2 linked regions of the Ovis aries genome follow. The protein of the gene in region 2 purifies or fractionates together with the protein of the main gene of each other region. This does not show direct contact. Links are inferred from orthologs where the notes say so. Each region holds a gene or a part of one and is shown on either strand. Other genes may lie near its edges. The genes, in order: DYRK1A and FNTB.

The links.
Region 1: the proteins of FNTB (region 2) and DYRK1A purify together in Homo sapiens (affinity purification with mass spectrometry; 3 studies listed by BioGRID, counting the BioPlex papers as one). This does not show direct contact. The link is inferred for Ovis aries from reciprocal best matches to the Homo sapiens genes FNTB and DYRK1A.

What each region holds. Positions count from the first base shown.
Region 1 is NC_056054.1:270,310,183-270,313,994, reverse strand, and holds part of DYRK1A (dual specificity tyrosine-phosphorylation-regulated kinase 1A), read right to left. Parts: intron 567-3,812; coding exon 1-566. UniProt on the Homo sapiens protein: Dual-specificity kinase which possesses both serine/threonine and tyrosine kinase activities. Exhibits a substrate preference for proline at position P+1 and arginine at position P-3.
Region 2 is NC_056060.1:75,180,092-75,184,444, reverse strand, and holds the start of FNTB (protein farnesyltransferase subunit beta), read right to left. Parts: upstream 3,098-4,353; 5' UTR 3,015-3,097; coding exon 2,871-3,014; intron 1-2,870. UniProt on the Homo sapiens protein: Essential subunit of the farnesyltransferase complex. Catalyzes the transfer of a farnesyl moiety from farnesyl diphosphate to a cysteine at the fourth position from the C-terminus of several proteins having the C-terminal sequence Cys-aliphatic-aliphatic-X.

The sequences.
Region 1 (3,812 bases), on a different chromosome or scaffold from region 2:
TCCCTATCAGCCCCTTGCCGCATTGTCAGATGTCCTTCAGTCATGTAATGTGCAGGACCTGTGTTAGCAGAAAATTGGTATGTTGGATGTCCAGCTATGCCAGTCTCTTGGCGGGGATTGGAGTAGACGGTTAAATTAACGTCCATAGCTCCGTTCTGTCCAAAGTCCAAGGTGTTAGCAGCCACTGGGCGGTTCTGGTAGGCCTGGTTGCCTTGATTACCAGTAGAGGAGGAAGATGTAGAGGAAGAAGTGGTTGAGGAAGACAGGGATGTCATGGAGTGGTGACTGTGGCCAACCTCCATAGAATCCTGGGTAGAGGAGCTATTTGTTGGAGAATTGTAGACCCTTGGCCTGGTCCGGTTGCCCAAGGCTTGCTGTCCGTGGTGGTGGTGGTGGTGGTGGTGGTGGTGGTGGTGATGGGAACTGTTTCCGTGGTGGTGATGCAATGCATTCTGCTGAGGGGCTACATGAAAGGTGGTTTCTTGAACGGGATGAGTTTCAACAGTGACTTGTGTAGGAGCTTCAGTGCCTGACCAACCAAGGGGAGCAGGAAACTGCTGACGCACCTGGAAGAGCAGATTGTAAAAAGATTTATTCAGGACGTTTCCAAGCTTTAATCTTCAATTAAAAGCTACATTAGCATTTACATTAGAGAGAGGGGTTTGAAATTTTAATGTTTTAGACAGCTCTCTAACACAAACTTGCAAATATGTTTCAAGAGTGTTTTTATCAAGTTATACCCAAAAATAGGGTCGTATGTTTTATTGGCCACTTTCCTTCCTTGGGAGCACTGTTTATGCCAGGGGTCAGCAAACTTCTTCTGGAAAAGGCCAGAGAGTAAACCTGGTTATTTCTGATCAGTCCAAAAGACATTCTTTACCCTAAAGCCCCTCCTCTCTATCTTTCCTGTTTTAACTGAACCACTACTATGCATTTAGCTGCCTAACCACTCAAACAATCAGTGAGTACTACTAAAGCCACCTCCAATAAGAACTCACATCTGGCATCTCTTCATTACTTTATCCGAGGTCACTACCATCTTGCCTAGACTAACACAACAGCCTCCTAAATCAACTCCCATCTTCCACCCTTGCCATTTACCGAACCACTCTCCAAATCACAAGAATAATCTTTTTAAAACAGATATCCAGATTATTGAGCATGAAAAAGAAATAAAAAGCAACCAAATTGGAAATAAAGAAGTAACCTGGCTGCTGCATACACATGGTGCAACATTATATATGGAAAACCCTGACGACTCCATAAGGAACTTATGGAGATAATAAATTCAGTAGAGTTACAGGACACAAAGTCAATTACACAAAAACCTATTGCATTTCTATATACTAACAATAAAATAAAATATCAGAAAAAGAAAACAATCCCATTTACAAAGGCATCAAAAAGAACAAAATAAGCAAAAAATAAATTTAACCAAGGAGGAGAAAGAGCTTTATATGGAAAAAGGACACTAGGAAGAGACATGGCAGACCCAAGGCGACGGGAAGACTGTCCACGCTCACCGACTGTAAGAGAGGGAATCAGTGCCGTTAAAGTGTCCAAACTACTGAACGCAATCTACAGATTCAATGCTATCCCTATCAAAATTAAAAATCCAATGGCATTTTTTTCAAAAAAATAGAACAAAATCCTAAAATTTGTAATCCACAAAAAATATCCAAGTAGTCAAAGCAACCCTGAGGAAGAAAAAGCTGGAAGCATCACACTCCTTGATACAGAACTATACTACAAAGCGACAGTAACCAAATACAGCAAGGTACCAGCATAAAAACCAGCACACAGATCAACGGAACAGACGAGGGAGCCCAGAAATAAACCTATGTGTATACAGTCGATTAATTTGTGAGAAAGAACCAAACATATATGATGGAGAAAGGCTATTCCCTTCAATAAATGGTGTCGTGAGACTTCCCAGTGGTCCAGCAGTTAAGAATCCACATGCCAACGCCAGGAACACAGGTCTGATCCCTGCCCAGGAAAACGCCCGAGGCCACGGGGAAACGAAGACTGGGCACCACAAATACTGCAGGCCACGCTCTGCACCGAGAGGCTGCCACAAGAGAGGCCCACACAGCTCAGCAAAGAGCAGCCCCACTCGCAGAGACCAGAGCGAGCCTGTGCGCAACAGCGAAGCCCACACAGCTCAGTAAAGAGCAGCTCTACTCGTGGAGACCACAGAGAGCCTGTGCGCAACCCAGAGGAGAAATTAGTTAATTAATTTAAATGGTGTCAGGAAAACTAGACAGCCAGATACAAAAGAATGAAACTCAACCACCATTTTACACCAAACCCCAAATGAACTCAACATGGATTAAAGACTTGAAGCCATAAAACTCCTAGAAGGAAACAGTCTGGAATAAGCCCTGGCGATGATTTTTTCAATCTGACACCAAAGCAAAAGCAACAAAAGCAAAAATAAACAAATGAGACTATATTATACTAAAAACCTACTGTACAGTAAAGGAAACCATCAACAAAACAAAAAGGCAACCTACTGAATGAGAGAAAACATTTGTCAACCACATATCTGATAAGAGGCTAATATCCCAAGCATAAAAAGAACTGATAAAACTCATTAGTAAAAACCCAAATAATCTGACTTAAAAACGGCCAGGAGATCCGACTACACGTTTCCAAAGAAGACACAAAGATGGCCACCATGCACAAGGAAAGCAACTCAACATCATTTGTCACTTGGAAAATGCAAACCCAAACCACAATGAGACATCACTCTCAAAAAGACAACAAAGGACAACTGCTGGTGAGGATGCAGAAAAAAGGAAACCCTCACACACTGCTGATGGGAATATATGGTAGTACAACCATTATATGGAAAACAGTAGGGAGGAGGTTCTTCAAAAAATTAAAAACAGAACTACCACATGATATTATGATTATACAGTGGAAGTGAAACTCACGGGATTAGATCTGATAGGGAGCCTGATGAACTATGGACGGAGGTTCATGACACTGTACAGGAAGACAGGGATCAAGATCATCCCCAAGAAAAAGAAATGCAAAAAAGCAAAAGGGCTGTCTGAGGAGCCCTTACAAATAGCTATGAAAAGAATAGCAGAGAAAAGCAAAGGAGAAAATGAAATTTTACCCATTTGAGTGCAGAGTTCCAAAGAATAGCAAGGAGAGATAAGAAAGGCTTCCTCAGCGATCAGTGCAAAGATACAGAGGAAAACAATATAATGGGAAAGACTAGAGATCTCTTCAAGAAAACGAGAGATACCAAGGGAACATTTCATGGAAAGATGGGCTCAATGAAGGATAGAAATGGTATGGACCTAACAGAAGCAGAAGCTATTAAGAAGAGGTGGCAAGAATACACAGAAGAACTATACAAAAAAAGATCTTCACGACCCAGATAATCACAAACCAGACATTCTGGAATGTGAAATCAAGTGGGCCTTAGGAAGCATCACCACGAACAAAGCTAATGGAGGTGATGGAATTTCTGTTGAGCTATTTCAAATCCTAAAAGATGATGCTGTGAAAGTGCTGCACTCAATATGCCAACAAATTTGGAAAACTCAGCAGTGGCCACAGGACTGGAAAAGGTCAGTTTTCATTCTAATCCCAAAGAAATGCAACGCCAAAGAATGCTCAAACTACTGCACAACTGCACTCATCTCACACGCTAGTAAAGTAATGCTCAAAATTCTCCAAGCCAGACTTCAACAGTACATGAACCATGAACTTCCAGATGTTCAAGTTGGTTTTACAAAACACAGAACCAGAAATCAAACTACCAACATCTGTTGGGTTATTGAAAAGGCAACAGA
Region 2 (4,353 bases):
AAGGAATATTTTCCTGGACCATAAGAGACTAAGGTGGTCTAGAGACTTTGGGCCACTATTCATAGGGCCTAGTCCATCAGTGAAACCTTCACCAGACCTGGAAATGAGCAGTCCAAGCACTGTGGGACAAAATGGTCATGAAATGCCCCCCAAACTATGGTCGAATTTATGACCCGGAAGGGGCCCTGCCAACTGAAAATTGGCACTTTCCATCTGACTCTGCAACAAAGAGATCACTGGGTACTGTGGCCACTGACCTTCAACACATCCCCGAAAGGAGTTCAGTGTGGAGATCAAGGATGAGGTGCTCTGTGCGCTGGAAAAACTGACAGAACAAGCCTTCAGATGGTTATAGTTTCAAGAGATTTTATGAGCCCAAATTCTTACATCATCTCATACCTAGATAACACTAAAATTTTTATCAGAGACACCTGCTTTGGCCAATTAAGGAGAAAAATGAAACTGAAAGTCAAAGTGGAGTCGCTGTGGTTGAGACACTTAAGGTTATTAATATTAGGAGGCATTATGGACGTGATTTCAGACAAGGCCAAGTACTGCTGAGAACTTGAGTTTTCTGAGCTATGTCAGACATGGGATGTCACCGGCATTTCTCAAAACAATGTCCACTGGTGACTGGTAGCTGCAACATTATGGCTTCAAGGTATCCTCTTGTAACTAAAAAATGAAAGTGCTTTAGATCAGGTATTAACAAAAAGAAGAAATATATGTGTAGTGGCCAATAGCTCCTGTTATGTCAATGCTACATCAGAAGTTAAAACTTACTTAGGTGCAATTAGACAACTGGTTTCAAGTCTCCCAAAGGTGCAAGGTTCAGAAAGGCTTTCAAGCTTATTCTTCTAAATACCTCAGGGAATGAGATTTATTTTGCCTATTCCAGGTTTCACTCCTCTAATTACTTCTAATTAAGTCTGTTACACCAAAATGGTGGAACAGAGGATTAAGATCTTAATAATAAGAGACTCAGATCCAGTACCTAGAACTCAGAAACATTTCCAATTCAGTGTCTAGTCCCTAAACTGAGACAAGACTAGGCCCCATTTCAACAGGAATTTGCCACTGCTATTGTTGTCCCATTCCCTGAAAGACTGAGAAGTATCAAAGAAGGGACTGACACTGAGCAGGAATCTGTGGGGCTCCCACAGAGTACAAATCCTTTCTGTTTCCTGTTTGTAGGTTATAGGTTTCATTCAGCCTCCTTGACCTTCACTGAGTTCCAAAGGGCAGATTCAAACAGCTGCTAATCAGGGAAGGGAAAGGATGCAAAAACAGGGGAGGAACAGCCAAGTGGTGGGACATCCTTGGGGCAGGGTCCTGGTTCCTACTCCAGAAGCATGCATAACTGTATCTTTGAGTTCTAATGACAAACTGCCCCCCCCTCCCTCACAACACACACACACACACACACACACACACACACACACACACCCCCAAAGTGGAGGATGGTAACTTCAGGCTGAGCCCAAGATTCCTGGAGCACCATACCTCACCACCTACCAGTCAGAAGAAAGTCACACACTCTGCAGCCCTCACCCCAAATGTTGCCTTTCTTCCCCCCCTCTCCTCCAAGCCCCGCAATAAACATCCTATTAGGCCTCCTGTTTAGCCCCTGTCTGTTTCATCTGCTTACAAGGTTTATCTCCGACAGAGTCCAACAGTTTCAGGCCAAATTGTTACTATAAGGGTGGAAGTCAGTTTTAGACACAGAATGCCTAGATTTAGATCAGGTGGAGAGAGATTTCTACTCTAGAAGGAAATGGCAACCCACTCCAGTGTTCCTGCCTGGAGAATCCCAGGGATGGGGGAGCCTGGTGGGCTGCTGTCTATGGGGTCGCACAGAGTCGGACACTACTGAAGCGACTTAGCAGCAGCAGCAGCAGATAAGAAGGTGCCCACTGCCAACAGGAAGTAGCTACAGAAGAAAGAAACCTCTGCCCCAATTCCCAATAAGTATGTTGAGTATGAAGTGTCTCAGGGGAGTTAGGTAAGTGTTGACCAAAATCACCCAACTTGGCCAACAAGAGGTCCCCATAAGCAACGTGGTGCTTCAGAGAAAAACTAACCAGGAGAATTCAGGAGGGGCTCAACGATAGAGACCAACCTCCCAGAGTCTTTCTCCCTGGAATCCATCTTGGCTGAGAGATGCATGCCAAAAAAGGACCCTGAGTTAGGCTATGAACCAAGCAACATGATTGGCCAGAGACAACCTAGTAATTAATCCCAATACCATAAAACCTGAAACTGTGAGCCACACGTGGCAGACCAGTTCCCCTGGGTTCCTTTACCCTGCTGCTTCTCCACCCAGGCACCCCGTTCTCAGTAAAATCTCTTGCTCTGTCAGCACACGTATCTCCTTAGACAATTCATTCCCGAGTGTTAGGCAAAAGCCCACTATCAGGCCCTACAAAGGTTCCCCCTTCCTACAACAGAACGGCATGACCACAGTCTGGGCAATTCTCTTCCCCTTCTTTGTCCCACAACTACAATCAGGCTGTAAAAAGTGAACTCTCCATCAGAGAACCTCCCAATGTCAGGCAGAAAGGAGTGGGCTGTAAATCCGTTTGGGCTGCTTCAGTACTCCAGGTACGGAACAAAATCCTCTCTGCTCCCCAAGGCTTAGGTACTGTTCTCTCGCTCCAGCTTTGACATCGACCCCTCCCCAACCTGGGCCAAAAAACCTCCACTCCCCCAGCCCAAGCCTGGGCGCCCGGAGCTTCCCAAAGGGGAAGCGCCGCGGTGCACCCTGGGAGCTGTAGTTCCCAGGTGAGTTCCGCGCCCCAGCAGCCCTGAAGACCGGACTCCCGCTCCCAGAAGCCCGCGCGCGGGCGCCTCACCCAGTCAAGCCACCTCACCTGTTCTATGGACGTGACTGTTTCCACCGAGTCGTCCTGCAACCGCTCCCGCGCGTGCTCTGGCCTCAGACTGTACAGCGGCTCTGACCAGACAGGGGAGGAAGATGGAGGGCAACAGTAGGTGAAGGAACTCGGAGAAGCCATGATCCGGAAAGCAGCAGGCGGTGTATAGGGCTCAGCTTCGGCAAGCCACAACGCGCATTGAAACTCGAGCGGGCTAAGGCGCTACGGTGAGCGGGTAGAGTCAAAAGATTCTGAACGCGAATTGCTCCTGCCACCTACACATCTTCAGGGAGTGGGATGCTGCCGCCCCCAACTGGACAGAGGGTTTGCTGCAAGAGGCTCAGTTTCCTAGCGGCAGGGAAGAATGTGTACGTCCGAATTTCATTTCACACACACCCCTCTTTTCAACATTCTGCACATTCTCACTTAATTGTTATGTCAGTAGTCTGCAGTTGCGAGTGCCCAAGAGCCCAATGAGTGTAACTCGTAAAGCATTTCTGACAGCTCTCCTGTCTCAGTCATGCTATTACGAATAGAATTATTGTTCACCTTTGTGTACGTGACAGCCGCCCAGGAAAAGCCAGCAAGTAGCTTCTCCACAAAGGCATCGCCATCTCCGCACTTAGTGATGGAGGGAAGGGGCACTATAATTTTCTCCTATCTCATTGGGGTTACAGTGCAGTAGCAGAAACGAAAACTCAGTAGAAGGAACAAGTATAAGTGAAACAACCAAGAAATATTTACTCATTCATTTAGAAATTTTAAATGAAGTCAGGGCACCCGTGCAAGGTGCCAGGAATACAAAAGTGAGCGAAGCAAATAAGGCCCTTGCCCGTGGGAATCCTACAGTCTGGTAGAATTGACAGAATTTAAGTGAATGAACACAATAAATACATGAAAACTTGTGATAAATTGTATGAAGGAAAAACAACAGGATCTGTGAAAATAAAGGAGGAGGGGACTAATTAGACTGGCTGGTCTGGCCAAGCCTCTCCAGGTAAGTGACATGGAGAATGAGACTTGAGAGATAACAAGGAGCCATCCACGTCAACAACATCAAGAAGAACCTCACAAGAGAAAGGAACAGCAAGTTCCAAGAACATGCAATAAATATGCTCACGTGTGTTTGTATTTAATCTGAAGGTGTTCCAAATAAAATTCCTCTTAAGTGGGGTTAATCATCATATACGTCTCCATTAAATGTTCAAGTAGTGATTTTAGGAAAACTCTGCTACCTTTGGGCAAGCGATAGAAGAGACCCTCTTTCAGGGACCCACAACAAAAAGACTACTCCAAAATTATAATACCAAGAGGTTAAATTATTTAGAGTAGGGGTGGGGGCTTGGGGGTTTGAGACGACAAGATGGTAACAGACTTTCCAGATAAACTTGGACACAAGATCCATTTCCAGCTCAGAGGATTTTGCTCTGTTCCCACTCAATTCCAAGTCACATGTCTAGGACCCAGGAAACCATGGTAT